2 linked regions of the Notamacropus eugenii genome follow. The protein of the gene in region 1 purifies or fractionates together with the protein of each later gene. This does not show direct contact. Links are inferred from orthologs where the notes say so. Each region holds a gene or a part of one and is shown on either strand. Other genes may lie near its edges. The genes, in order: PAG1 and FYN.

The links.
Region 2: the proteins of PAG1 (region 1) and FYN purify together in Homo sapiens (co-immunoprecipitation; 3 studies listed by BioGRID and IntAct, with this or other methods). This does not show direct contact. The link is inferred for Notamacropus eugenii from reciprocal best matches to the Homo sapiens genes PAG1 and FYN.

What each region holds. Positions count from the first base shown.
Region 1 is NC_092875.1:304,578,826-304,594,713, reverse strand, and holds the start of PAG1 (phosphoprotein associated with glycosphingolipid-enriched microdomains 1), read left to right. Parts: upstream 1-7,645; 5' UTR 7,646-7,747; intron 7,748-15,888. UniProt on the Homo sapiens protein: Negatively regulates TCR (T-cell antigen receptor)-mediated signaling in T-cells and FCER1 (high affinity immunoglobulin epsilon receptor)-mediated signaling in mast cells.
Region 2 is NC_092873.1:192,200,580-192,216,241, reverse strand, and holds the start of FYN (tyrosine-protein kinase Fyn), read left to right. Parts: upstream 1-8,222; 5' UTR 8,223-8,631; intron 8,632-15,662. UniProt on the Homo sapiens protein: Non-receptor tyrosine-protein kinase that plays a role in many biological processes including regulation of cell growth and survival, cell adhesion, integrin-mediated signaling, cytoskeletal remodeling, cell motility, immune response and axon guidance.

The sequences.
Region 1 (15,888 bases):
TTGCATCCCAGTACTCAGCATGGTGCCTGGAACATAGTAGTTAATAAATGTTTAGTCACCTTTGACTTATTTATTGACTAATATGGGATTTAATAAGGATTAATGCAAAGTTTCACATGGGCTTAAAAAAATTCACTTCGCAAGTTCAAGATGGAGTAGCTGTGTGGGTAGCATGTTGTATGAAACCAATTGTGGGGTTTTAGAGGACTGAAAGCTCAATAGAAGTGAATAGCATGATATGGCAATTTGAAAAGCTAATGGTATGTACTAGGTCTGTATCCCAAAAAGAATCAAAACAAAGGGGGGGGGGAAGGACTTATTTGTACAAAAATATTTATAGTAGTCTTTCCATGGTGGCAAAGAATTGGAAATTGAGGGGATGTCTATCAATTGAGATATGGCTGAACAAGCTGTGGCATATAGTAGGATGTTTTCAGAAAAACTTGGAAAACTTACATGAACTGATGCAAAATGAAGTGGGCAGAACCAGGAGAACACTGTACACAGTCAGAGTAATATTGTGCCATGATCAACTGTGAATGACTTAGCTGTTCTCAGCAACACAATGATCCAAGACAATTCTAAAGGACTCATGAAGAAAAATGCTATCCACCTCCAGAGAAAGAACTGATGGAGTCTGAATAGAGATTAAAGCACACGATTTTTCACTTTCTTTATGGTGTTCGTTTATGTGCATGTGTATGTGCATGCACATGTATGCACTTGTCTTTTCTTGGTCTGTGTTTTCTTCCACAGCATGACTAACAAGGAAATATATTTTTCATGATTGCATATCTATAACCTATATCAAATTGTTTGTTGGTCTTAGAGAAGGGGAAGAGAAGGGAGTGAATTTGGAACTTGAAATTTTTTTTTAAATGAATGTTAAAATTGTTTTTACTTGTAATTGGGAAAGAAATAAAATATCAGAAAGGGGAAGGAAGGAAGGAAGGAAGGAAGGAAGGAAGGAAGGAAGGAAGGAAGGAAGGAAGGAAGAAAAGGAAAAAAAACTAACGGCAACTACAATACGAGTCACAAAGCTTCCAGGAATAAGGATGGTGTAGTACTTCTGTGGTTTGTCCTGGTCTTGCATCTGCAACATCTCTATATCTTGATGTCTCCATTTAGAATGTCATATCCAGTTCATAGTACCACATTTGAAGAAGGTTTTGATATCTAAGGAATGTCCAAAGAAGGGCATCTGGGGGTCATGAAAAGAACCTTGGTTCAGAGATTTGGAATTAAAAGGCACCTTAGTTGTCATCTAGTTCAGTTCCTTCATTTTACAGATTAGGCAACTGGGTTCCAAAATAGCAAGATACTATGCCCAAGGGCACACACATAGTAAGAAGCAGAACCAGAGTGTGACTGCCCCCAATCTAGTGAATCTACTTTACCACTCTACCTTCCCTCATGCTATTCTCAGGATTAGTTGACCATAAAGGGAATGTTTAACTTTGAGGAAAGAAAGTCTGACATCAAGTATTTGAAAGGCTGTGATGTGCAGAACAATCAATTTGTTTTGTTTGGCCCCAGAGGGCAGAAACAGTGGGTGGAATTTTGCAAGAAAAACTCCCTAACAGTTAATAGCTCTCCAAAAATGAAATGAGCTGCCTTGGGAGTAGAGGATTCCTCCTTCACAGAAGATCTTCAGACAAAAGCTGAATGACCACTTGTTATGATCTCCTAGGAGGTCCCTTCTACCTCAGATTCTGTGATTCTCTCCATGTTGGTGATCCAGAGATGCTAGTACTCACTAGCGCTCTCACTCAAATCTCCTTTCTTCATCAGCTTCTTTACCTCAATCTCAGCACTTTTCTCACTCCCTGATCTTTTCCCATCTGCTGCTTAGGACTACAAATGGTGTTAGATTAACAGAGCATAGCATTTTCTCTGATTACCATTTAAAGGACAAGCTTATATTAATGGTGTTATTGTGTGAAATGGCAAAGCTAGAAGAATTAAAATTGAATTTAAGAACTCTCTCAACAGCTCTAGCGGAAATATTTCCCTCTTTCCACAGCACCAGTTTTTTATTTAACTTCAAATTTCAAGAATCCATGATTTTACTGACTGACCATTAACTCCACTGATGTAAATTGCCACCCTTCACTGCTTTAGTAGCTGCTCTTTATGAGTTGTTAGGGCCACAAATATTAATCCGCTGCCAACCAAGTTATGGATAAGCCTCTCATCCCTAAGCTAGAATGACAGAAAGATCAAATTTGGGGATCATACAATTCCAGTGTGCTCAGAGAAAACTCCAGAGTGTAGCTGGAATCAGATTAAAAATGCTCTACACAGCCATGTCAAACTCAGCTAGAAACACATCGATGCCAGCTACATATTGACTTAGAAAATCACAATTTAACATTATGTTCTACTGTATTTTTATTTATTTTGCTAAACATTTCCCAGTAACATTTTAATCTTGCTCGAACCCTCAGAGAGACAACTTCTTTGATATCTCTGATCTACAAGAGATATACCAGATACCATGCCCTGTAGCATGTAACCCTTTCAACTCTGGAGCTCCCACCTTGGTGACCATGCTGTCTTGATTTGTGAGTGTTTCAATTCTAGCCAACCCCAATCATAATTCACTTGCAACCTAGAGATATCATTGCCTTCCAGTATATACTCATTTCCTTCCATCATTGCTTTCCAGTTTTCAAACTATAATCAAGTCCATATTGCCACATCTATGGTTTCATTTACCATGCTGGCAATTTTTCAAGCCAAGCCACTCATTCTAGTGTTTTCCCCATTAGAATACACAGTCATTGAAGCAAAGGACTTTTTTGCTTTAATATTAATTATTAATATTTAATATTAATAATAATATACCCAGTACTTAACACAATGCTCAGCACACTGTGAGCTCTCAATACTATTTTAGTCTTCCATGCAGACGTGCATTTGTTGTTGGACCTATTCTCAAAACCTTCCAAAATTTGGAGTCTACTGCTATCTTTAAGAACTTATGGTCACCTTCATGCCAAGATGAAATACTGATGTAGAGTTTTCATGAAAAAGTTCTTCTAAAATGGCTGCGGGAGAGATCTTATTCTGAGCATTCTATCCTGAGAGATGTCAAGATGTGACGGGTAAATAGGCCAAGGGACAAGGGCAATTTTCATACTTGAATCTGCAGTGCGAAGATATCACCTCTTTCCACTTTTATAGCCACTCTACCCCAGTTCCCATAATTTTTTTCTCTCAGTTGGAAGCTCCTGAACTGTCAGGTTCTTAAGCCCTGATTTTTCATTTCAGTGCACTGTGTGGTCACAGGACATTAGGAAGCTTTACCTTGATCTCTCTGAAATGCCTTCTCTACAGGACGTCCTCTCAAGGGGCTACTAACGACTGAGTCTTGACAGAAGAGGAAAGTATTCCTTCCTACCCTTTTAAAAACTAGAGCCAAGCACACTTTATGCTAAAAACAATAGCAGACTTCAAGTTATAAATTTTAACTTTAAATAGCATCTTGATATATCCCTATTGCCAAATACCAACTAGGAAATCACGGAAGGGATATGAAACAAAAGTTAGAAGCCTATGGGGTTAGGGATAAGGATGGGCAGTGTGATTTCATTAGTATGGGGAGCTCCAAAGAGAAGAAATTCCCTCTACCAATGTAGGTCAGCACCTTCTCTCAACTTACAATCTTAGAGTCACTGAGAGTTAAAATGACTTGCCCAGGATCAGACACACATTAGAGTACACTGCCTTGAGTAGGTGAAACACTTAGAATGCTCTAGCTTTTAAAAATCCGTATAAATTTATTTCCTTCTGATGCCTTGTTATTTGGTACTGATAGATTTAATTCTCAATATACACATAGGGTATGTGGTACAGTGGGTAGAGTTCAAGGCCTTGAGTCAGGAAAACCTGAGTTCAAATGTAGCCTTAGATTAGATACTTACTAGCTGTGTGACCCTGGGCAAGTCACTTAACCTTGTTTGTCTCACTTTTCTCATCTGTAAAAAAGAGTTGGAGAAGAAAATGGCAAACCATTACAGTATTTTTGCTAAGAAAACCCTGAGTGGGGTCACAAAAAGTCAGACAGGACTGAAACAACTAAACAACAAATAAACTGACAGTTTCTAACTTAAAAATAGTCAGCCTAGGAATAATTCAAGAAAGGATCCTGTCAAAACTCTTGCCCTGCTACTCTTGGAGTTTTGCTGCCCTACCCTTGCTACCTACCAGGGCTGCTCTCACCAAATGTACTGCCACCAGAGCTCTTCCCATGACTCAAATTAATTTATTCACTTCCCTGCCACTAGAAGCCTCTTCCAACACTACCTGAGGAGCCAAAGCCAATATTTAGAGGGGTTCAGGGGACTCAAAGCTGAGGAATAAAAAAGGTTTGAGATTGAGAGATCAGGTAAAAAGTTTTTATGGGTTATTCTGGGAGCCTCACCATCATTTATAATCCTATTTCTATAGGAAACTACATTCCAATCAACCACTTTACTAGAACACAATCCATTCATAAATTGTGGACTCTCTGTATTATTATAAGAAGAATTGCCTTTTCTGCCTATTTCAAAGAATTCTCTCCTAGAGATTGAAGATCAAATTTGTTTAGCTTTTACTCTGTGCTCACATGAAAAGAGAACTAGAATAAATCTTTTCCAAGAAACAATTTGAAACTATAATTTAAAAAATTTTTATTTGTGAATTTACTGTCCAAAGCTTCTCCTCCCAGCTCTTCTTTTGGGTCTTTGCATGTATTAGCTGCTTACCCACAGTAGAAAATAAACATAGAACTCACAGATTTTCAGATGAAAGATGCTTTCTAAGCGAAAATTCTGCACAAATTATAACTAACAATACCAAAGAAAGAAACACTGGGTCAAATTTAGTGATAATTTTTACCGTTTTCTGTTGAAATGTGTGTTCATCCTTCATTGCCGAAGACTATGCCACCAGAGAAATGATGACATGACTTGCACTTGACTTTGTTTTGAGTGAGGGAGGGTTGTGCAGGTCACCAGCCTCACTTCTCCTCCAGAGCCATCTGAATTCAGTGACCAGATATTCATCAGGATGACTGGAGATGACCCAGGATGAGGCAATTGGGGTTAAATGACTTGCCCAAGGTCATACAGCTAGTGAGTGTGAAGTGCATGAGGTGAGATTTGAACTCAGGTTCCCCTGACTCCTGTACTGGTGCTCTGTCCTCTGCACCACCTAGCTGTCCCTTCTGCTGAAATAAAAAAAGTTTAACATAAATCCATCTTTTATTTGTTTTTTTGGGTTTTTTTGAGTATGCAGGGGATAGTTTAAATGGAGACCTCAGCACATAGATAATCAAAGATATCACAAACAAGGCCTTTAAAGAAACTGATTAGGAGTAGAATCTTAACACAGGAAATAAGTGTGCTTTGTTGACCTGTAAGGAATAATATAGGCCTTGGGAAAAACTGTGGATATTATCCCTACTTCTCTGTAGGGTAAGCTTATGATAATAATAATATATGAGTAATAACAGCTTTCATTTCAAAGCACTTCCACATACATTTGATATAACAGCACTGTAAGACAGAAAGTGCAAGTGTTTTTGCAGATGACAAAACTGAAGATCAGAGAGGTCATGGGGTCATTCAAAGATTCAGAGCTGGAAAGGCCCTTTGAGGTCACTGAGTTCAACTACTTCCCTTTACAGATGAGGAAAGTGAGTCTCACAGAGATTAAATTATTTGCCCAAGGTCACATAAGCAGGAGATCTAGGATTTGAACCCAGGTTCTCAGGCACCAAATTCAGAGGATGTTCTAATTCACAATGCTGCTTCTTATGATGGAATTCACTTGGGAGTCACATAAATTGCCAGGAAGCAGTCAAGAGTTCTAGATGTAGAACTAGATAAGACTTTAGTGACTACCAAATGCCTCCTTTGAGGCAACTTCTTGGTGCAGTGGATAGTAAGCGGGGCCTGGAGTCAGGAAGACTCATCTTTGAGAATTCAAATCTGGTCTCAGACACTTGCTAGCAGTGTGACCCTGCACAAATCACTTAACTCTGTTTGTCTCAGTTTCCTCACCTGTAAAATGAACTGGAAAAGGAAATGGCAAAGCACTCCAGTGTCTTCACCAAGGGGGTCATGAAGAGTCTGACAAGATAACTACAAAAAGAAAAGTCTCATTTTGCAAATGAAGAAACTGAGACTCAAAGGTGACTCAAAGATGGCTTACCTGGAGCAGAAGAGAGGTAGCCAAGATAGAGACTACTGTAACCTAAGCAGCAATTTTTAATCATCCCTTTTTCTGGAGGTGATCAAATTTCAAAAAATGCTATAATGTATTTTGTGAAGTTAGTGTCCATAATATTGGCTTAAAATACAATTACATTGGGCTACCATAATTATGTTCTGCATAATTTGAGCCTGGTACTCCTGAATTTTAATATTCAATTTAATTCAACCAACATTTGTTAAACGCGATTATTTTAATGGCACTATATTAGGTACTGGGAACCATAAGAAGAAAAACTATGTGGTGCAGAGGAAAGAGATATATTCGGTATCAAGAGGCTTTAAGTTTAAATCCCAGTTTTTCCATTTACTTTTCTCTTGGTATGTCCTTGGGCAAGTCATTTGACCTCAGTTTCCACACCTATAAAACGAGAGGGTTGGACCAGATGGCTTCTAAATTCTCTTCTAACTCTAAATCTATAATCCAGTAATCATCCTACCTTCCAGGAGTGTGGTCTCTACTAAGAGAGGAGATACAATGTATACACTTAAGTTCTAGTGTGAATAGGTAAAGGGAGCCTTTGGGGATGCTAAAAAACATCTTCAGTTGGGACTACAAGGGAAGAATTCATGGAGGGGTTTTTTACTGGCAGGTTAAACAGAGATCTTGGACGTTTTGAAAAAGAAAATATTTTGTAAACCTCAAAATACTCTATAACGGTGAGTGAATCTATTCTTTATCAATCGTTTCTATATGAGTTCTGCTAGATAATGGACTTTTTTAGTCCAGCCTGAGAACCCAGCCACTCCTTTAAACGTATTTTCCTGGGAACTTTGGGACCCAGCCTTGGGCTGGAGGTTTCTTGCACCCAGCTGCGGAGAGGGTTCCGCTCCTCCAGCGCACCCCGCCCTCCAGCCTCCTTTCCCTCCCTCCCTCCTTCACTCAGTGACGTGCCGCAATGGCCTCTACCACACAGGCTCTGGGGGAACATGCGCACTGCCGCCACTTGTGTCTCAGCTAGCCCGAGCTCGCCGCGGCTGTCAGTCTCCGCTGTGCGGGTCAGCGAGCGGACCGCTTGGGCTGCAGGGGCCCCCTCGGGACTGTGACTGGCCCGCGCCCGGGAAGCTTGGCGGCTTGGCCGTGCGTCTTCTCTGCCTCTGCATTCCCTCTTTTCCCTTTAGAAAAGAAAGAAAAGAAAACCCAGCAAGTTCCATCAGACTGGGGACACACTCCAGAGGCTCCCACGGCGGCGGCACCAGGAGGAGTCGCCGGGAGCTGCTCGGAGGAAGCCCGCAGCCCTAGCCTCTGCTTGCCGCCTCCCTGTCTGCTGTGGCTCCGGAGCTCTTGCCTGATCCGAGGCTCAGTACGGACAGCGCCAGACGCCTTCTTCCACCAGCTGCACTGCAACCACTGCCTCCTCCTGCGCCTCTGCTCCAGCTCTGCTCCGACACAACCAGGCTGGTCTGAAGCCAGGCTCCGCAGTCCCGGCTGCCACCCTAGAGCCTGGGCTGGGGCCGCTGCTGTAGCCAAGGGCGTCTGGATCCCAGTAAGTTGAATGCAGTTTTCCTGAAGTTGAATAAGGGGGCGGGGGACAGGGGGAGGAGAAACTAAGAGGCAGTGCTGGGTTTGCATGTGTTTGTTTTTATGGGGTGGGGGTGGAGGGAGGAGAGAATTGTGTTGGGTGCTTGGAGGAATTGGCTTATGGCCCCCCTCTCTCCTCTCCAGCAGTTTCTGGCTTAGCTGCAGCTTGGGGCTGAGGGGGTGGAAAGAGAGCCCCTACCCTTCACGCTGCCCATAGAAAGGGAGAAGGGTGTCTGGTGACTGGTTGGGGTGGATGGGCTACTTACTGGGTGACAACCCTTGAACCTCTGACGGAGGCACCAGTTGGAAGCGTGCTTCGGGAGGACAGGTGCTCTGATGGTATTTTGCCTAGTGCTAAGCGCACATTCCAAACATCTTGAGAGAGAGAGAGAGAGAAAGAGAGAGAGAGAGAGAGAGAGAGAGAGAGAGAGAGAGAGAGAGAGAGAGAGAGAGAGAGAGAGAGAGAGAGAGAGAGAGAGAGAGAGGCTGATGTGCCTTATGTCAAGTCTGCACTGGAGTTGATTCTGCGGGTTTCCGTCTGGCTAGGACTGCAATGGACCCGCGTCTTTTGCGTGAAGGGAGGCAAGAGGAAAAGCTGTTTTTTCCAGGTCACTGGTCTGCCTAACTACCTCAGTTCTCAGTACAGGGACAGAAGTTGTTAGCGTTGGGGACAGATCTCTTTAGGGGGAAAACGAATTTACATACAAATTCAACACTTTAAGTTGGAGGTGGCGTAGGAAGAAATATCATGTAACTTTAGGAATGCAGGGGCAATTGACAAAGGGCAAGGATTCAAACTGAGAGGACTCCATGACTTTCCCTTAGCTGTCATTTTTAATGTAAGGAGAACAGTGAAGTCTCTCTGAGCGCGTGTTAGAACTCCATCTCTCACTGCAGTGTCTGCAGCTTTGGGGCTCCGTTCTATTTGGTTAACATCCAACTTCATCAGGATTTAATGCAAATGCTGACATGCTATAGGAGCCTGCAGTTTGAATCATACTGCACTTTTCAAATTGAAAAGCCTTCTCTTAATAGTATAGTACAGAAGGAAGAGTTGAGTCTGTTTTCAAAGCAGCACAAGGAATTGGATGCATAAATCATTTTTGAAAATCAGATACAGTATGTACCAGCCTTTGAAGACTTTCCTTATGCTTTTTACAAAAAGTAGAAAACATGCTTGCCAGACAGTTGTTGAGCCTGAAAGTTAAGTGTACTGATGGGCCTAATTAACTTAATAAACACAGAGAATGATTTATAGGTAGCTGAACTGTACTACTTTGAAGGATAGAACTCTTTAACCTTTCTTTCTCATCTGTCCCCCAGAGGAGTCCTTTTAAACATAGCAATATATCATCATTGGTGTTTAATTCTTGAGTTGATTAAATTTATAAGAGTAGTAGATTTTGAAATTCAGCATTACTGTGAGGCTATTGGACAGTGACTGTAGAAAAAAATTAAGAAACCAATTTAGGATGTATGTGATTTAGAAGCCATTGAAAACACTGCTGCAGAACTGATCTCATTCCAATGTCAAAATATTTTTCTTAATTTGGACCTAAGATAAAAGAAATTAATTCCATTATAAACCCAGGCATATGACTGTCAGACATTTAACTGAGAGAAAAGTATATTTTATTTTAGGTATTTCATTATACAGAACTTTTATTCTGGGGTCTATGTATACATATGTTGTCTAATGGAGTAGGTTTTATTTTCTTTATACCATAAGGCAAACTATCAATTTTTAATTTTTTTTGTAAACATTAAATATAGTTGGGGTTTTTTTAAAGTGCTATGTTAGTCCCTGGCAACTTATATGAAAATATCCTGGTCTTCCTCTTTTAAGTATCTACATATTTTAGTTTCTTAGGCTATTTAATATTAATGGATAGCTAAGACTTACAATCTATGATGGTATCCTTTTCCAAGTAAAAAAATTTATATGTATCATTGTTCTAGAAAATGTTTCTAAATGGGATATGTTATGGGTCTTTCATGACTGGTAGAGGTAACAAGAATTGTTGAGCAAATTGTTATTTTTCCTGTATTGGCATAACACTATCAATCTTTTTTCCTACCTTTGTAAATACAGCTGAAATGACTTGCTACAGATCCTAAGGCACAAATATCCATCAAATTTACCCATCTAACTTAAAAAAAATTATATTTAATATATCATCCTATTTTTTGTATGTTGCATCATTGTGTAAATTAAATAAGAAATATTTCTCCTTCATATAAAATAACCATCTGTCCCAGTTTATTTGCTTTCCAATGTCTATTCAAGAATGTATAATTTTCTTGTTACATTTTATATGCTAAAAGATTCTATACTCTAGTAAATTTCATTAATCAGTTTTGTAGAGATCGAAAATTGATTGTGTATACACTGCTTGTAATGTGTATCTTTTTACTGTCTCCAGGACCCTGATTTGCAGTTGGGTGGAGCAGTGGATTGGGCACTGGGCATGGACTCAAGAAATTGTTAAGTTGTTTCAGTTGTGTCTGATTCTTCCATGACCCCATTTTAGGTTTTCTTGGCAAAGAAACTGAATTGATTTGCCATTTCCTTCTCCAGCTCATTTATACAAATAAAGCACGGAGGCAAACAACTGAGGAAACTGAGGTAAACAGGGTTAAGTGACTTGACCAGGATCTCATTGCTGGTAAGTGTTTGAGGTTGGATTTGAACTCAGGTCCTCCTGATTCCAGAGCCAGTCCTCTATTCACTGACCTCATGAGACTCAAGAAAACCTGAGTTCAGATTCAACCTTAGACGCTTATTAGCTGTGTGTCCCTGAGCAAGTCAATTAACCTCTCTCTCCCTCAGTTTCCCCAACTATAAAATGGGAATAATAATGACACCTACCTCATAAGGTTGTAAGGATCAAATAAGATAATGTCTATAAAGCACTTAGTACATAGCTTAATAAATGCTTGTTCCTTCCATTGACATATGAGGGACACAAGCAATTGAGTTCGTATAAACTCTGCCTTTTCATTAACTAAGATATTCTATCAAAGATAATCAAGGCATCCTGGGTCTATGTCTATCTCTGTACTCCTGGAGAAACATGAATCCTGCCTTCAAAGAGCTTACAGTTTACTTGGGCAGCTATGTGTCTGTCACAGTGGATAAAGTACTGCTGGGCCTGGAGTCAGATTTGCCAGACAATTCCCAGAACTTTGTGACTAACTGGATTGGGTAGAGAAGTAAAAGTGGACAATTTTGAGTCTGAGTGACTATGAGAATGATGGTGTTACCAGAAACAAGGAAGTGAGGTGGAGAAGCCTCTTTGATGGGACAAGATAACAAATTTAGTTTTGGACATGTTTACTTTGAGATGTTGAGCTATCCAGATGATGAGCAACAGGCAATTGTACGTGACGACTGGAGAGATGTGAGACAACAAAGATTTAAAGATTATTCACACAGGAATGATAATTAAAGTCACGAGAATTAAGAATAAGGCGAGAGATGACATTATATTCAATTCAATATGCATTTTAGTGTCTACTATGTGCCAAGCACTGGAGTAACTGTTGGAGATTTGGAAACATAGACAAAATCATCCTTTCCCTCATGGAGCTTATATTCTATTGGGAGCATGGTAATATATGCACAAACAGATTAATATAAAATGTAAAAAGTAGTTTTGTGGTGGGAAGGGATAAGAAGCACTCGCTACTGGTGGTATCCACAAAGGCGCCCTGTGGGGAAGCAGCATGACAGAATGTCCATAAATAAGTACACAGATGATATATGGGGTAGCTGGGTAGTGCAGTGGTTAGATAGTGCACAGGGCCTGGAGTCAGGAAGATCTGAGTTCAAATTGGGCTTCAGATATTTACTAGCTGTGTGACCCTGGGCAAGTCACTTAACCTCTCTCTGTCTCAGTTCCTCATCTGTAAAATGGAGACTGAGTGGAGAAGGAAATGGCAAACCACTGGTATCTATGTTTGCCAAGAAGACCCCATGGACAGGTCCATGGAAAAGTGTAGAGTGAACAGTCACACAACTGAATGACTAGACAGCTACATATATATGTACACACAAACCTACATATATGTACACGCAAATGTACATATACGTACATACATGTGTGCATGTATGCATGTGTACATATATTGTACATTCATGCAAAGTTTTGGAAAAAAGAAGAGCATTTAACAACTGAGGAAATTAAGAAAAGACTCAAGTGGGCTTAAAGCTGAGCTTTGAAGCTCCACCTGAGATGGGAGAAAGTTCTAGAAAAGATGGCTAAGAACAGGCTTTGGAATTGGCTACATCTATGCTGTAGAATTAGGAAGAGGAGCCAGTGAAAGAAAATAGAGCGATTTGATAAAAAGCAAAGTGATGTAGGGACAACAAGGTGGCACAGTGGATAGAGGGCTGACCCGGGAGTCAGGAGGATCTGAATTCAAATTCACCCTCATACATTTACTAGCTGTGTGACCTTGGGCAATGCACTTAATCTCTATTGCCTCCAAAAAAAGAAAAGGAAAAAAAGAAAAAAAATCAAAGTAATGCAGTGCCAAGGAAGCCTGAAGGAAAGAGTTCCAAAGAGGGAATGATTGATTCATCATAGTGTCACTGAGAGGGTAAGAAGGATGATGACCTAGAAAAAGCTATTGGAATTAGACCAACTTGAAGGTATCAGTTTCAGTGAAGTAGTGGAACAAAAGAATCCAGAATCCGAGGGTTTAAGGAGTAGACCCCCTCTTTTAAGAAATTTGGTTAGTGAAGGGAAGAAGAGTGATTGATAGATATAGATGGATAAGTAGCATTAAAGAAAGTTTGTTTTTCCTGGTTACAAATTATTTAGACCAGGTACAAATATGCACCTGGAACCAAGGGGCAAAGCCCTGCCACCCAGCATCCAAGTCCCAGACAAATTAGCAAAAAAAAAAAAAAGCTATGGAGAGTTTTCTTAGGGTGACTTGGGTATAAAGGAAGTCTAAAGTCAACCAGCCTCTAAAGTCTTGAGACACCTAAATTCTCTAGAAATGTTACTTTTGGGGACTTTGCTGCCAAGGTAGACCTTTTATGCATAGCATTTTATACATTTCAAGACATTTTTACTTTATTATCTCTCCTGAATAATAAGCAACTTAGAATAGGTGGTTTTGTCTTTATTTTACACATTAAAAACCAGGGCATACTCAGGGGTGGGGAACCTATGTGGCCTTGAGGCTGAGGCCTGAGTGAAAATCCTGCCTCAGATACATACCAGTTGTACAAACCTGGGCAGATCATTTACTTTTCTCAGACTCATCTGTAAATGGAGATAATAATAGCAGCTACTTCACAGGATTTTTGTGCATTTATAATTATATAATTTAATTTAAAGTACCCTGCAAAATGTAGAGTGCTATATATATGTTAATTATATTAGTTCTGTTGTTCTTATTAGTCTAGTGTTCCATTCATTACAGTCTAGTGACTAGATAAACAGGAAGGCGCTGAGGATTGATTTTTGGTGCTGTTACGTTGGCCAGTGAAAGACAAGTTAGGTAGAGAAGTCTAGTGATTGTAGACTCTGCACCATGCATCTCTATGTCTTGGGCAAGGTCTGAAAATCACTCTCCTTCTAAACACTCCCTCCCTCCATTTCTGCTGTATTTGAATGTGTACAGTTTTTAAAATGAGTTTTCAGCCCTCATTGTACCACATTTGATCTGATTTACAACAGATACCTAAGTGCAATGAACAGTGGCATTTATTGCTATTCCATTTTCTTTTACTCATCAGTTTTGTTTTGCCCTCTCTCCACCTTTTAACTTTCTTTGTACGCAGAGCATAGAATGTCCTAAACTATTGCCTACTTTGTGTACCACTAGATCCAACTCCAGATGGTTGTATGACAAGTTTCCTGTTCACAAACAGCAGTTGGTACCCACTGTACAGAAACTTCATATCTACACCTTTTGGGGAAAGAAGATACTAAGATTAAGAGGCCCAACCAACTTAAAAAAGGAAACCACATGCTAGTTTTGTGAAACAGGAAATATCAATCCTTCAAATGATAGTGGAGCCACAGAGTGTTTATCTCTGTAAGGGTAAAGGTTTACATCATAGTAATATGTTTATCAAGGAAATGACAAGCACAGAAATCTCAGTTTTCTTAGATGATTAAAAAATGAATTTTATTTGAGAAACTTAAAAGGAAAGTCAACAATAAATATTGGGAAAATTACTCTTCCCCTCACCCTGTGTTTGCCTTCCCTCAGGAAATAGCACATTATTAACAACAATGTCATCTGTCATTTCCAAGAAGAATAGCTTTCTTTTTAAAGAAGATTTAATCCATAAATCTAAAAGAATGATCAATGGTGATGATCTGCTTTGAATTGTGTTGTTCTGGAGTAGAAATATTTCATTAAAACCCCCTTCTCTTCCCACTCCCCATTTCCAATTCCCATCTTGACAGTGATTTAAAGCCTTTTTGGGAACCTTTCCAAAATGTATATTCTATTTTTTTTCACCTGATCAAAGGCAAAATATGTTGATTTTAGTTATGTTGTATTTGGACTTGTCTTAATGGCACCTTCATTTTTCTGTGTGTTTTATTGGAACTCTTTGCTATATTTATTCTAAGTAACCCACTGATGTACATGGAGTAAGCTCAGAGAATTGGGAAAACTTTAGGTGCAGTATTTAAGGCACATGTTTTCTGTTGGGCTAGACTCAAAATATGTCCCTTCTGAACCCTTTCAGTGATGTAAAGGGACCAATTCTTCAACAACAAAAAAAAGTTCTGAATGTCAAATTATCAACATTTTATTTTCTTTTACCCTCTGGCCTTTCACTTTCTTTCATGACCTCATCTTCTCTACATGTCACACCCAGTGTTCTTTTGCGTTTGATGGGCACCTTTCTTTTAGCTTGCTTAAAATACTAAAAAGTGAATCACCATTGACATTTGTAATATTTTAATTCTGAGGAAGACCAGTTTTGCTTGAAACAAACTGCATTGATTTGTATTGTATGTAGCACAAACTAACAAACATGCCTTTTTTTTTTGAATGCCCCAATGTAAAATTTCTGTTAAATGATCAATTTATCATTTAAAGAAGACCAAAAAGCATATGTCATAGGTAGGAATTTTTACCCAATTCTTCATAAGAACATAAGAGCTGGAAGAAACCTTAGACCTGATCTTGAACTTCACATTTTACAAAGAAGGAAACTGAGACCTGAAAAAGCCATGTGAGCTGTCCAGGGTTACACACAGTATTATCAAAGTGGTCATATTCTTTCTTCATTATGTAACCTGAAGTCAACTTAACTCTTTGAGTTGGGTCTGAAGTGACTTTATTGACAAAATGGGGGAGTTGAATTTGATAATCTTTTTTTAAGTTAATTTATTTATTTTTAGTTTTCAACATTTACTTCCATAAGTTTTCAATTTTTTTCCCTCCTTTCCCAAGGTGGCCTGCAATCTAATATAGGAGATATATATATATATACACACTCCTATTAAACATATTTTCACATTAGTCATGTTGTATAGAAGAATTATGACACATCGGAGAAACCATGAGAAGAAAAAACAAAACAAAATAAAAAAAGAAAATAGTCTGCATCTCTCTGCATTCAGATTCCATAGTTCTTTCTCTGGATGTGGATGGCATTTTCCATGATGAGAACTTTTCAATTGTTTGAGATTCTTGCATCGCTGAGAAGGGCTAAGTCTATCAAAATCAGTCATCGCAGACTGTGGTTGTTATTATGTACAGTGTTCTGGTTCTGCTCACTTCACTCAGTATCAGTTCATGTAAATCTTTCCAGATTTTTCTGAAGTCTGCCTGTTCATCATTTCTTACAGCACAACAGTATTCCATTATATTCATATACCACAAACTTGTTCAACCATTGCCCTGAATTTGGTCATCTTTTAGCCCTTCCATATCTAAGTTGGGTGATGCTCAGAGTCAGACACAGAATTCATATCCATATTTTCTTACTCTAAATCTATTACTCTTTCAACCAATACATGCTTAATATATAGAAATGCTTTCTAGCAATTAGAGCCCTTCAAAAATAGAATGGCTTATCTGGGTAGGAGTAGTTGTGTTGAAGTGGCAGCTAGGTGAATGGTAGAT
Region 2 (15,662 bases), on another chromosome or scaffold:
ACAAACCAAAATTGTTCATTTAGTCAGGATTTACTGGCTTTTTTTTGTGGGGGGCGGTATATGGAAGCTGACTTGACAGTTAAAAATAATAAACAATTAGGAGACATAGTATGGTATGGTGGTTAGAGTAGGGGTCTTGGAGTAAGACAGATCTTGGAGTAAGACTAAGGCAGGGTTCTAATCCTGCCTCAGACACTGTATCATTTAATTTTTTTGAGCCTCAGTTGACTGGCTTATAAAATAAGGGGTTTGGACTTGACCTCCAAGGTCTCTTCCTACTTCAAAGCAATGACCCTATAACTTATCAGATTTGTCTGGTGTAGAGAGCTAGTAAAGCTTCCTACCCTACTTTTTATGGGAAACCTTAAAGCAGATAACTAGAGGAATTGACTAACGCTACAGAAATAGATAAGACATCCATTCTGGACAGTTTGCTAAATCTTTGTGAAGCATTACAATGTTGCATTGGGAGTCAGAAGACTTGGGTTTGAATCCTGGCACAGATAACTAGTTACATGATTTTGAGTAAGTCACTTTTCCTCATCTGCAAAATAAGGATAATAATAGCATCTACGTCAGAGGGCTGTTATAAGGATAATATATGTAAAGTGCTTTGCGATCTTTAAAGAATTATACATAGTTATTATTATTGGAAGTCATTTGCTACATTGAGAAAAAATATTTGGAAAAGATAACTAAATTCCATTATTACACTATTATTGAGGGGCGGGGGTAGGGTCTTACATTTTAGTGCTTATTATATTATATGTTTATAGAAATCAATCTATTTCCGGGGCGATGATTTCATGTAAGGCACATATAATCCATATCATAAGTGATTTTCTCTCATGACAGAGTTCTCCTACATAGTATTAAACCTAGCTTCTGAGTTTTTGCCCTAGAACAGTGTCTTGATTAGAATATTTTATTGTGAAGCTGCTACCTTTTGTATGCCTGAATTCTTCATATTTCTTCACTTGAATTATTTGTGCCCTGGAACAAAAATAATTATAGTTTAGGTTGATAGATTTAAAGCACTTTTCTCATAAAAACTCCATAAGCTAGTGTATGTATTGTTATCCTCATTTTATAGATGAGGAAACTGAGTCTGAAAGAAGCTAATTGACTCCCTTACAGCCATATAGCTAGCAAGTGTCCAAGAACCAGCTAGGTGGTACAGTGGATAGAGCACCAGTGCAGGAGTCAGGAGGACCTGAGTTCAAATCTTACCTCAGACATTTGACACTTACTAGCTGTGTGACCTTGGGCAAGTCACTTAACCCCAATTGTCTCATCCTGGGTCATCTCCAGTCATCCTGATGAATATCTGGTCACTGGATTCAGATGGCTCTGGAGCAGAAGTGAGGCTGGTGACCTGCACAGCCCTCCCTCACTCAAAACAAAGTCAAGTGCGAGTCATGTCATTATTTCTCTGATGGTATGGTCTTCTTTGGCAATGAAAGATGAACACACAGGTTCAAGAACCTGGGTCCTTTGATACCACGTCCAGTATTACTCCATTACATTGCCTTTCTCATCTTCGTTCACTTGGTCCCCATGGTGGAAATTATTCCCCTTCCACCCATCTCTATCAATTGAAATTCTTCCCTACCTACATGGCCTAACTCAAGTGCCATGTGCTCCTTGAAATCTTGCCTACACACTGAAAGATGCATCTTCCTCCTGAATTGGAGCATTTTGTGTAGCCCTTCTGCTTACCCTTATCTTACCCTCCTTGTGTCCTAGTTATTTGTATACACTTTGTATACATTTTGTATACATTTTCACCTCATTAGATTGCACATTCCTTGAGAATACAGTTTTTGTTGTATGTATCAATATAGCCCTTGCACATAGTAGGCAATGACTTTAATACATGCAAACACAATGGAACATCTTTCCAAGTACAAAACATAACCTCAGGCACCTGAATTCAACCTTGTAAATACATTTAAAAATTTTACCAGCTCAAGCAATTTTTAAACAACACTACTCCATGAAGTAGTAAAATGAATGAATTGATCTTTTCTTCTCCATATAAACTATTACTCACCCTGGGTTACTAGGATATTTCCATAGCTGCCTTTCAACACAACATTTTACAGTAACTATGGCTTGAAATTCTGTTACTTCATTTAGTTGCTGGACATCCTCATAAAACATATTACTCTTAAGGTGGGCAAAATCTCAAAGAATCTCAAGACATTTTTGGTGGTTCTGCAAAAGTATTGGAAAGTATGTTCTTATTTGGCACATGGGAAATGTATCAATTTTTGAAAAAAGAATGAATAGTTTTAACCATTAAACCTTGTAGACGGGAACTAACAATATATGAGTATGTATGCGTGTATAGTGCGTGCTCTGTAAGAGATTGTTGATTGATTGATCTAATTTTCTCTTCTGTAAAATGGAAGTAATTTTGTAGTTATTTTTGGCAGTTCTTAAGCCCCTACTATGTGCAAGGTGTTTGCAATAAAAAGATGAAAATGCAACCTTACTTGCCTTGAAGGATCTTACAAACTGAAGTGCTCAGGAGATGACTTGCCTGAACTCACCCAGGAAATAATACAATAAGATGTCCTAATTCCCAATTCCCTCTTGTGTATTATGTCTAATGCAAGTACGGCTGAAAAGGAATAAAAGTAAATGCAGTCTTTTTAATTATCAGAGTATTTAGTTTCAAGTACTCCATTTTAACATATCTGGTAGATCTTAAATTGTGAGCTGTTAAAGGAAAGGAAACTTTTTTTTTCAATTTTTTAACATTTCTATTTAAAGTTTTGAATTCCAAATTCTCTCTCTCCCTCCTCTTCCTCCCTTTCCCCTTCTCTGAGATGGTAAGCAATCAGACATAAATTATACATATGCAGTTACATAAAACATTTCCATATTGATCAATTTGTACCAAATGACTTGAATAAAAGGAAAAAATGAAGGAAAATGAAAAATAACATGCTTCAATCTGTATTCAATAAATATAAATTCTTTCTCTGGAGGCAAATAGTATGCTTCATCAATGCGTCCTTTGGGATTGTCTTGGATCATTGTATTGGTGAGAATAGCTAGGTTCTTCACAGTTCTTCATCGAATAATATTGCTGCTACTGTGTACAGTGTTCTCCTGGTTCTGTCCATTTCACTATGCATTGGTTCATGTAAGTCTTTGCAGGTTTTTTCTGAAATCATCCTGTTTGTCATGTTAAGAAGACATGATATTAATAAGATATCAATATTCCATTACAATCATGTACCATAGTTTGTGTAGCCATTTCCCAATTGATGGGCATCCTTTGATTCCCAATCCTTAGCCGCCACAAAAAGAGCTGCTATAAATATTTTTGTACAAGTAGGTCCTTTCCCCCCTCTTTTTTAAATGTTTTTGGGTTAAAGACCTAGCAGTGATATTGCTGGAGAAAAGAAACATTTTAAAATCTAATCTGTATGCCACATCTAGCATAATGCATCATGTCAATATATATCTAATAAAGGGTTTTGATGATGACGACGTCTTACCTTGCAACATTTATAACATACTGGGTGCCATACTAGCAAAGCATTTGACACACAGAGAGAAAAACATTCCATACAGAAATTTTTAGTCATTGACTTATTAGAGTGTTAATTAATAAAATTACCTTAGATTCATAGATGGTACTTTGAAGTCTTTAAAAATCAGTAATGGCTAAATTAGGAAGTAGGAATGGTACTTTAGAAGATGAAGTTAGGAAGGTTAACTGGACCTGTCCAAATCATCAAAATCCATATTGGAGGCTGCACAACTTTGAGGGCCTTGAGGGATCATTTAGTAAGTTTTATTAGGGAGGGGAAGATGCCAAAAAGAATGGACAGAATTACCACCTCAAAAAAGTGATCAAGAGGGCATCGGGAACTACTCACCCATATTCCTACTTTATCTTCTTCATAACACAGTTATGAGAATGAGCAACATTTTTGTCCAGGGTAAAACTAGATGAAAATATGAGACAGAAATCCAGTCTTTCATGATTTTCTATAGCATAATGAATGAATAAATGAATTCACATAAATGAATAAAGGAACTTATTGAGAATTTACTAGTTAAGTCAACAATTACTTATTTTTAAATCATATTTTGTTTCCCCCAATTATATATAAAAACAATTAAAATGGCTTTTTAAAAGTTTTGACATTCTAAATTCTGTCCCTCCCTCCCTTCTTCTCTCCCTGAGATGGTAAGCAATCTGATACAGGTTATACATGTGCAATCACATAAAACCTATTTCCATATTAGTCATTTTGTGAAAAGGAAGAAAGGAAGGAAGGAACAAAAGAAAGAAGGAAAGAGAAAAACGGTATGTTTTAGCCTATATTCAGACACCATCAGTTATTTCTCTGGAGGCAAATAGCATTTTTTATCTTGGGTCTTTTGGAGTTGTCTTGGATCATTGTATTGCTGAAAATAGTCATCCACAATTTCAATAATCATTTATTAAACACCTGCTATGTGCATGGCATTCTACTAAGGGCTGAGGATACAAAGAAAGGCAAAAGACAGTCTTTGTTCTCAAGAAGATCATAATCTAATTCAAGAGAAAACACGCAAATAACTATACAAAATAGAGGCAGTTGGTAGCTCTGTGGATAGAGCTCTGGGCCTGGAGTCAGGAAGACCTGAGTTCAAATCCAGCCTCAGATACTTCCTAGCTGTGTGACTCTGGGCAAATCACTTATTCTCTGATTGCCAGACAAAACAGATTCATTGGAAAAGGAAATTGCAAACCACTCCAGTGTCTTTGCCAAGAAAACCCTAAATGGAATCAGGAAAGGTCAGACGAGATTGGACAACATGTATAAAACAAGGTATGTAAAGGATAAATTGAAGACAACCCCAAAGGGAAGGCACTAGCATTAAGGAGGATCTGGAAAGACTTCTTGCGTAAGGTTAGATTTGAGCTTAGACCTGAAGGAAGTCAGAATACTGAGAAAAGAAGGGATACAATTCTGGATAGTAAAAATGAGTGGAGTCTAGAGATGAGAGGAAGGCTTGCGAAAGAAGTAAATTAGGAAGGAAGCCAGTGTTATTGGATATCAGAGTACATGGGAGTAAGGTAGACTGGAAAGAGAGGAAAGGACCAGGTTCTGAAGGACTTTCAAAGCCAAGCAGAATTTTTTATTTGATCCTGGAGATAATAGGGAGCCCACTAAATTTATCAAATGGGATGGTGACATGGTCAGACCTGTGCTCAAAGAATTGTGCTAAGGAGTAGCAATACAAATAGAAAACACAGTACCTCCTCTCAAAGAATTCAACATTCTACCTGGGTTTGACAACACACAAAGGAGGCTTTAACTGCAAGTCAATGGAAAGGTCCTATTGTTCCTAAGAAACAGCAGTAAAGAAGATGATAATGCATCATCTTTAATGACATTTCTCCACTAATAAAATAATCCAGAGTTCCTTCAGTATTTGATCCACTCATCTGAACCACCTAAAACACTCAAGAAGAATCCAAATACTTTTGAGGAAGGCAGTAAATAGGATTTTTAAGGTGTTAAAGGAAATAAGACAGAATGCCCTCTTGATGGCAGCTTGTCAATAGGTACTTTGGATGGCATATTCAGTGTGGTATGAAACAAAATGTTGACTTAACAGTCAAAGGACTGGAATCTGACTTATTACCTAGGTAACCTTTGGAAAAGGACTTAAAATCTCTGAGACTCAGTTTCCTCATCTGTAAAATGAAGGGATTTGATCAGATGATCTCTAAAATCAGCTTTAAAGCTATGACTGTATGATCTCTTGGTTGATTGGTTATTGTCCTTCATTCTCGAAGAGGATCAAAATAACATCACCATAATAAAGTGAAATTTCAGTGTGTCAGACTGTGGCTGATCAGACCAATATGAGCTTGGAATGCTCTACCACAGGCTGGGCACAGATAGTCTGTATGAATATTTGGGGTGGATATTCCAAATTTGTACATCCTATGTTTACTTTGTGCTATTTCAATTCTGCTTTGCTCATAGAGCACAGCAACCTTTCTGATGTGGGCATGCTATGCTGAGTGGTCCTGTGCCAGTGTCTCCCATGTTGCACAGTCAAATCCAAAGTTCTTGAGAGAGACCTTGACAGTGTCCTTGTATCACTTCTTCTGGCTACCATGTGATCGCCTGCCCCATACAAGTTCTCCATAAAATAGTCTTTTGGGCAAGTGTACATTTTGCATTCGACCAACATGCCCAGCCCATCAGAGCTCACTCTCTGAAGCATAATTTGAATACTTGTCAGTTCAGCTTGAGCAAGGACTTCAGTGTCTGGTACCTTACCCTGCCAGGTAATCCTCAGAATTTTCCTAAGACAGTTCAAATGGAAGAGATTCAGTTTCCTGGCATGGTGCTGGTAGACTGTCCATGTTTCATTTTTAAAAGACAGACTTGTAGAACAAGTGGGAACAACCCATAGACAGAGAAAATTAACAGTAGCTAGCTGAGAAATTTGAGGTACTTGAAGTATTTTCAAAAGGATCCCTGCTTATCCTTTGGATAAATGTCAATATCTTCTCTAAGACAGTGTATCAGAGTCTTCTTTTTCTTCTTGTAGGTATTTTTAAGGGGACCAAATGAAACAGTGTTCTATGGCAATGTTATTATGTTCTGATTTGTCTTTATACAAATATTAGTCAGTGTGGTGCAGTGGCTTTGGAGTCAGAGGACCTCTGCCATTTACTTACTTGGTGACCTTGGGCAAGTCACTAATCTTTTCTTAGCCTTGGTTCTCTCATCTGTAAAAAGAGAGGACTGAAGAATAGGGTCCCTTAAGCCCCTTACAACTCTAAAACTATGAGTAGGTCCTCCTTACTCTATTGTAAACCCATCAAATCTGTGCCAGAGAAGGCAGACAGTAATAACTGAGATGCATTCCTTTCTCTCTGAGTTATGCCATTAGAATTAAAGCTTATTTGGAGCGGAGAGGGGTTTCCTTGCACAAAGCATTAAGTGCAATTTGTTATTATTAAATGAACGAATTTTAGTTAAGCCTCAAAGTGAAACTCTCAGATAAAGAGAAATCAATTATAAAGAAAATCAGGAAGGCAAAATTTTACTTTTCATGTAGATATATCTCATCATACAAAAGTTGGATGACAGGAAATAGACTGATTTATCCCCCAAATGGTGTATCCCATCCACCAAAAAAAAAAAAATTTTTTTTTAACTACAGAACATGCATCGGAGGGCAAAGGAGTGGGAAGCTTGAATGTCACCCGAAACCAAAGACAACATTTGGAGAGACAATCCCCGGCTACTATTACACATGATTTTGAAAAAATGTGCAAACATAAGCTTCTACCCTATCATTATGGTATGCACACACTTGAATATCTCTTCTTTCCACGCAGCTCTAATCTAATCACCACCAGGCTTGACCACTTTGGGGGTGGGAGGAATCCTTTCTAGAAAAAAAAAAAACCTTTGAATCTTTTTCTTTTATATAGATTTCCCCAATTTCTATCTTGGGGAGAGTACCCCCCCACACACACACACACCTTCTTCAGACTGTGTAGGGAGCACACAGCTCTCAGAACGCTTCGCTGAGCACCCTAACACTTTATAACCTTGTCCTCCCACCCCTGAAACACTGTAACACCAGGAGGGCAAGCCGCTACTTTGTTAAACAGGTTTCCATGGTTTTAAGGGTGGCAGGGGATGGGGAAATGCTAAAACTGTACTGAAAGGAGTGTTGAAGAACCAAAAGAGAAAGACTCGTAACCCTTAAAGACTGAACTGGACGCAGCACACTTTACCCACTCCTCAATTTTTTGCTAAAAAAAAAAAATTCTCCATAAGCCTTACTGCTCACACAGCCCACTCCGCGAACTCAAATCCTCCTTGTCCCCATCGGGATGCCCGCTGACACCCTGAAGCACACCACCAGCTCCCGGGCCCGCCCACTCCCGCCCCCGCCCCCGCGGCCGGGTCCAATGACGGCCGCTCTTGGGGGCTAGGCCTCCGGTGATAGGCTTGCAGGGCCTGCCGCTCTCAAGATGCGGCCCTCCCCCTTTCTCCGCCCTTCCCCTCCCTTTTTTCTTTCTCTCCCTTCCCCAAGCTGGAGGGGCCGGAGCATCAGGGGGAGTAGCCCAGCCGGGAGAGCAGCCGCGGCGTAGTTGCAGTTGCGCCATCTGTCAGGAGCGGGCCAGGGAGGAGGGGGAGGAGAAGGAGGAAGAGGAGGAGGAGAGGGAGAAGGAGAAGAAGGAGAGGGTGGAGGAGAAGGAGGAGGAGGAGGAGGAGAGGGAGAAGGAGGAAGGCTCAAGGCTCGCTGTGCAGAGGAGCAGCCGCGCGAGGAGAGGGGAGGCCACGGCCCCTTAGAGCCCCCTCCTTCCCTTGCCAGCCGGGGCGGCGCAGCGCTTAGCTCCCGGGGTGGTGGGGGTGGCTTGCGGAGCGCCCGCACCGAAGCCGCCGCCTCCCAGAGCGGCAGCTGGTACCCGGAGGGAGCCGGCCGCCGGGGCTGGGGGGGGAGAGACCCTGGCGCTGTCCTCCTCCCGCTTCTCCTGCTCCTCCTGCGCCCGCCCCCTCGGAAGGGTCGCCTGCCTGCCTCCCCGGGAGCCCGCAGAGGAGCGCCGGGAGAAGACCATGTGAATGGGGCTGGGAGCCTCAGGTAAGCGGGGCGGGGGTGGGCGGGGGAGAGGATGCTGCAGCGGCCGCCGCAGCCGCCGGCACCGGCTCCTCCTCCGGACCCCCGCATCTCCGGCCGCGGGGTCGGGCGCCGCGCGGCCGCTGCGGCTCGCCAGCATTCTCCGGACCTGACAGGCGCGCGGCGCGGGCTTCCCTGCACTGCCCCGGCGCGGCGGACCCCCGACCCCAGCTCCTTCCCCACCCCGGGAAGGACTGGACTGGAGCTGGGCTCGGGCTCGGGAGGGAGAAGCGGGTTCCGCCCCTGCTGAGCTGGTGGAGCCCCCCGCCCCCACCCCGGGGGACCCTGGCGGCGTGGGTTGCTCTAATGACAGGGATGATGTAATCATTTAATAATTGATGATTCCCAGTAAGCCGGGGCTTGGCCCCCTGCTGCTCCCCCTCCACCTCTCCATCCTCTCGCGGTCCCTGTAGCTGACGATTTCCCATGCCCATCCTCCTGCGGGCTTCCATCACCTCCCTAAGCGACTTCCCCCACCTTCTTTCCCTTCCCCCAATTTCCCTTTCCTTTGGCTTCCCGCCCTCTTCCGCCTCTCCTTCTGCTCCCCTCAGGCTTTTTCTCCTCCCCCCTCAGCCTCACCCTCTTACCCCTCGCCACCTTCCCCTCAGCCCCCCTGCGTTTCCTCTCTACTTCCCCAGATCATTTGCTGGTTTTTGTCTCCTCCTTTCTCTTATCTTTAAGCCCACAGGCTGAGGGTAGTGAGCCAGAAAGAGGCAACTAAGACTCCTCGCAGGGCGTTTATTTGCTGTGACTAACTGCAAAAAAGGAAGGGAGGAAGGGAGGGGGGCATGATAAAAGTATCCTCCCTTTTCTTTCCCTCAAATCAATCTCACAGGCTGTGTGTGTGTGTGTGTGTGTGTGTGTGTGTGTGTGTGTGTGTGTGTGTGTGTGTGTGTGTGTCACACAAAGGGTCCTTTCAGTTCCTAGAGAAGAGACACACAAAATACCCAAGAATGGTGGGGTTTCCTGCTTGTTTCTTTTCCCTGGGGCTTCCCTTTCTCTTTCCACAGGAGGCAGGAGATCTTCTCTCTCACATCCCCTTTCCTGCCACATTTGGGGGAAAGATAAAGGGCACCAAATGCCCATTTGTGGGCATTTAATAACGTCCCAGGAACTGTAGGGGATTTGGAAGTGGACTATTTTCTCATGGTTGTTATTGGTGTGTGTGTGTGTGTGTGTGTGTGTGTGTGTGTGTGTGTGTGTGTGTGTGTGTGTGTGTTTAAAGGTTTCAGCAGCTTAGAGAAGTTTCCTTTCAGCGTTAGATGGCTTCTTTCCTGACTCCGTTTTGTGGGGAGGGTGCTAGGGGCCTGGAGTTAGGGCTATGTTGGTGTGTTGAAGGAGTAGTTTACTCATGAATCAGAGAATGATATTAATGGGTTGATCCATTTCTTAGTGATAGGGGAGGGAACTGAGTGAGAGAGAACTGAGCCTCCAGAAAGACTTCATTTCTTTCCAATCAAGTATAAGCAGAGACTTTTGTTATGGAATCTCTTTTTTATGTTTTCTCTGTCGATGTTGGTGTCGCTTTGTATTTAAGTACTCAGAACCATTATGAAGGCAACAAGACTTGAGTGCCTCTGGAAATACTTCTGGAAACCTTGTCCCTTTCCTGCCTCTGTCTAGCCTTCTTTACTCCCACATCCTTCCTCTCACTACTTGTGTATTTTCTACTCTTTGTGTTCTAACCCTTTCACCCCTAGATCCTGCCCCATGTATCCCCAGTATTCAGGTGAAGATTGTTGGGTTCAGAAACTCTCAGAGGAAGTGGTTTTGTTAAATATCTAAAACTTGGAGGCAAGACTGGCTGCAACCTATAGAAGTTTCTATGTATCTTCTGTCAGAACCCTAAACCATCTCTCTCATGACACTCTCTAGGAAAGAGGTCCTTAATCTGTGAACTTTTTTTTTTTATATTTTGACAACTATTTCAAAATAATTGATTTTCTTTGTAATTCAATAGGTTTTATTTTATATATTTAATAACATTATTCTGAGAAAGAAACCATGGGCAGTATATGATAAAAAAGAAAGGGAAGAATGTCACAGCATGTGTGTGTGTGTGTGTGTGTGTGTGTGTGTGTGTGTGTGTGTGTGTGTGTGTGTGTGTGAGAGAGAGAGAGAGAGAGAGAGAGAGAGAGAGAGAGAGATACAGATACAGATACAGATACAGATACAGATACAGATACAGATACAGATACAGAAACAGATACTCTTGCTCTAGGAAGAAATGTAAAGTTGGGTGCATTGTATGCCAATTCCATAATGGCTAAACTTGAGTATTAAGAGTCTGGTACCAAACCAATACAAATGTGGGGCAATGTCTCCCAAGTTAATTCTGAAAGAATACTTTTTTTTTTTTTAAATAAAAGCTTTGTTAGAATTGAGATCCCATCCGTGCATATTTGAATTTTAGAAGCCTTTCATTGTAAGAACTTTTTATTTGGAAAAAGTAATGTGGTTAACGGGGTTACTTCTGAAAACAAAGGATGGTTTGTTTTTAGACTCTAGAAGGGCAGTCAATGCGCTTTAAGCTTAAACTCTGTTGTCTAACCAAAAGTGGCTTCATGGACAAAATTGAATTTGAACAAAACCCCCATGCTTTGGATTCTGAAGCTGCTCATTATAGCATTTCTATTACTTTCTTTGAACATTTTTAGGTCCTTGTGGCCTCTTTAAGTGAACTCTTTTTTTTTACATGTTCAAAATAATTCAATTTTTATTTAATAATAAGCTCATGTAATATAGAAATTTGTCTCCGCCCCCTTTTCACAGCAAGGCAATTGGCTTATTCCATTCTTTACTCTTAGCTGAATTTCTCTCAGCAAAGTTTTTTGTATACTCTCAGATCAGAGGAAGGAACCTTACCGGTCATCTAATCCAGCCTCAGTTATTTTACAGATGAGGCAACTGAGGTCTTGAGGTGACCCAGCTAAGGTTAATACGGCTTTGTTAGTGACAGAGTTGTGACCAGCACCCAGGGGGCCCTTTATGTTACATGCTTCCTCCCTTATTTGGCTCTGAATGGCATCAGATTTCAGTTATTTTGTATAGTTTTTGAGAAGAGAGCTTCCAGATGGGCTGCTAAGACATATTTCAATGCTTTGAGGTCACAATGCTTTGAAAGCATGTCAGGACCGACAAGCAGATTGAAGTAGGATCAGTCAACATAAGGATAGGGCCTCTATTCAGTTCATGGTGCCAAATTATATTGGTTGGAGCCCTAGGGTAGTGTGCTGTCAGTCTAGCAGCAGACGTGGGGTGGGGAGGAGTACCTCCAATCTTTTTTAGGCCAAAATTGATGATGAAGTCTATCTACCATCTGGTGAGGGCTGAAGTAAGAAAATAGTCTTCCTATTAGAAGGATTTTTTTTCTTCTCATTTTGGAGGATCTAAGAGTAATAATAATTGTGCCCTTTTTCTACTTCAGTACTATTTTTCTCTAGTAGTGACAACAAGATTGGTGGAGAGTTGTTTTAATTGTGGGAGGACCAAACAAGTAGGTGCCAGCAGTTTATTTATTATGACCCACAAGATCAAAGAGAGAAATCTTTTTGTATCCCGTCAGGGGATTATTTGATTAAAATAAAAACTATTTAAATCCCTAGTCAGGTGCACTATATTGAATTATATTTCCCACAAAAATACATGACTATTTTGATACAACCTTAATAGCTATTGTAAGCCAAAGACATATTTCAGTTGTTAGAAGAGATTTTACATTTTAAGGCAATGATTTGTTTTGCTATTTCTAGTTGACCTAAAGAAACAGCTTTATTTTCATTTTAAAAATCTAATTTGACTTCAGCCTACTCTTTGAGCCTTACTGTGTACAACTCCCCCCTCAGATATTGCATATACCCTGGCTAATCTACTACTTGTCTCTAAAACTGCCCCTCCCCTACCCCCTCCCTGGCTTCTGTTTCTTTTGCCAAAACTGGTCTCTGTGTCTGAAATGGCCATCTTCTTCCTCTAGCTCCATGTATGGACAGTACATCTAACCTTCAAGGCCCTTCTCAGGTGCCATCTTCTAAATGAAGCCTTCTCTGATCTCCCATCCTCCCCCATTCTTCTTTATATCTCATCATTCTATAGTAATATCATGTATATATCATATTCCAATTTTTATTATAGTCATCTTTGTATTTATTTTATCTTTTTCAGAAATATTAGCTACCAGTCTCCACCCCACCCCCACACCCTGGAGGCTAAGGGCTATGTTTTATTTACCTTCATATCTCTCCTAGCATGCTACACTGCACATATTAACTGTTAAATGTTTGTTGAACAAATTAGTTAATTAATGAATACACCTGTATACATAACTATGTTTTTACTTATATGAAAACTGACTTCTGCAGTAGATAAGATAGTCTTTGGATGCTCCTTGTCCTCAGGCCAGGTCCCACAAATTATTAGTGCCACTGATGTGACAAAGCAGAAATTGTCTCCATCTTGAAATCAGAATAATAAAATACTTAACCTATTAAAAGCATATATAAAGCATCTAGGCATTGAGTATTAGCTAAAGCATAGTAGCACTGGTTCTCACCTGGGAAATAGGTTGTTTATCTTGGTTAGCTGTAGTCTAATGTAACTTGTCAAGTTTGCATTGCTACCAGTTCAATTCAGAAAACATTTAGTAAGCTTATTGTACAAAGCACTTGGTTAGTTTTGCCTTTTGGATATTTTGAATTGAATGTCTTGTAAGCATCTCACGTGTACTGTGTCTAAAACAGAATTCTTTCCAAGGTTTCTGTTATTCCTCAGGGCATTACCATGGTTTGCAACTTTTGACATCATCTTCAACTCCTCTCTTACATATACCGCTTAACTAGTTAGTTGTCCAGTCATGTCATTTCTGTCTGCACAGCATATCTCACGTGTTTCTCCTTCTGTCCACTCACACAACCACCAACCTCGTTCAGGCCCAACTCACCTCTCCCTCCAGACTATTGCAATAGCCTCCTGATGGGCCCCATCCTACCTTTCCAGCCTTCTTACATGCTACTTCCCACCATACACTCTACAGTCTTGCCATTCTGGCTTACTTGCTGCTCTTCAAATATGGCACCCCATCTCCTACCTCTCCCTTTGCACTGGCTGCCTCTCATGCCTGGAATGTTCCCTCTCTTTACCTTGCCTGGCATCCTTCAAGAAGACTCAGCTCCCCTTTGGAATGAGGCCTTTCCTTATTGCCCTAACTGTTAATGCCCTTCCAAAGTTACCTTGTTATCTGTTTTATCTCCCTTGGCTTCAGAATATAGGCTCTTTGAGGACAAAGACTTCTATTTTATCCCCTTGGCCTGAACTAGACAGTAAATACTTGATTGATTGAGACACAAAAATTATGCAGGCTCCTCATCCTCAAGGAAACAATTAGTAAATATTCTTGGAGGTAGAAGAATGTACTTCGATTAGTTATGAATAACCCTGAATTATTCTCTACCAGAGTCTCTTTGGCCATGCACAGTATGAGTAGTATATTTAAGGTGGCATATTAATACTATGAATTGTCTTACACAGTTTAAAAATCTTTTGCCAATTTATAGGTATTATTGGAGAGTTTCTCTTGAGGTTTATGGTCCCCTCTGGAGTCACAATATATAATCTTTAAGAAGCAACAAGCAGAAACTATGAGAGATTAGTAGAAATTGCCCTTTAAGGACCAAAGGTTAGAGAAGAGACATGAATTATGGAGACAAGTGTGTCACTAAGAGAATAGTAGAGCTTAGGACATGGGAGTGAGTCCTAGTAAACTGGAGGTAATGATCTTTTTTAAAAGGTGGGGAAGTAGTTTCCAAATTATGGTTGTGAAATGACATTGATGGGGTGGGGGGTGGAGGAGAGCTCGACCTCAGGTTTTAAGAAATACAGTCATCTTGAATTCTTAGAAATGGAAAACATGAAAGGGGGAGCATGGAGAGGGGAGGCAAGTACTTATAAGTAACTTCAACAAGTTTTTTAGTCTTTTAGTGTGGTGATAATTAGTATTAATTATGTTTCAATATGAATTGATTGGGTTTGGCTTTTTGGACTCCTTATGAACATGGAATCAATTCTGCAAATACAGTAAAAGTATAAATTGTGCTTCTCTGCCTCCTCTCTCTCCCCTCCCCACCCCTGAATACTGCAGGTGGTTCTTATTCAAGAAAACACTTTGCAGTGTCTTAGTGAATAGATTGGTTGGGGGGGAAGGATCGTTAAGTTAGAGGTGCTAGTTTACTAAATTTGATCATTTTTTAACAACCAGAATACATAAGAGCCTCAGTAATTCTATCCAAACAGTCTTGGGTGGTACATTGTACAAGGAGACCTTTGGGTTAAATGTAACTGGTCTTGATTAGAACAGAGTAATCCAGGAAAGATATAAATTGAATTGGATTTATGGCCTAATAAAAATGTGGGAAGAAAAGATAATGTCCGCTGCCTCATGAAACTTAACCATGTTTGTATCTTACTACATCGTAATCTTTGGATGAGAGCTCTTTCCCATTCTCTTCACTGTCTAAGCTTCAGAGTTAGCTTGCATTTTCATAGGATCATAGATCTTTAACTGGAAGGGTCCTTGGAAATCATTTCACTCTTCTGTCTCCCTTCCCCCATCTTTTATAGATGTAGAAACTTAGACCCAGTGAGGTTAAGTGATTTGTCCACGGTCACAGAGGTATCAAGTAACCGACCCTAGTTTTGGACCTAGATCCCCCAATTTCAAAGCCAATTCAACCATCCTGTCCTGTCTTCTCATTACAGAGTACGGTTTGGTGCCTACTCAGAAGGCTTTTGAAGCAGCAATCAATATGCTATTTACCATGTAAACAGAAACAAAATAGATGAAAATGGCAGTCCTCAGGGAGGGACAGAAAAAGGCAGTAAATACTAAATGTCGGGGAAACATTGTTGTCTCAGTTCAGTACTAGGAAGTGATCATGGACTATTTGTGCCTGAATTTAGGGTCGTGAAAAAAAAACCATAGGATCATAGATTTAGTGCTGAAA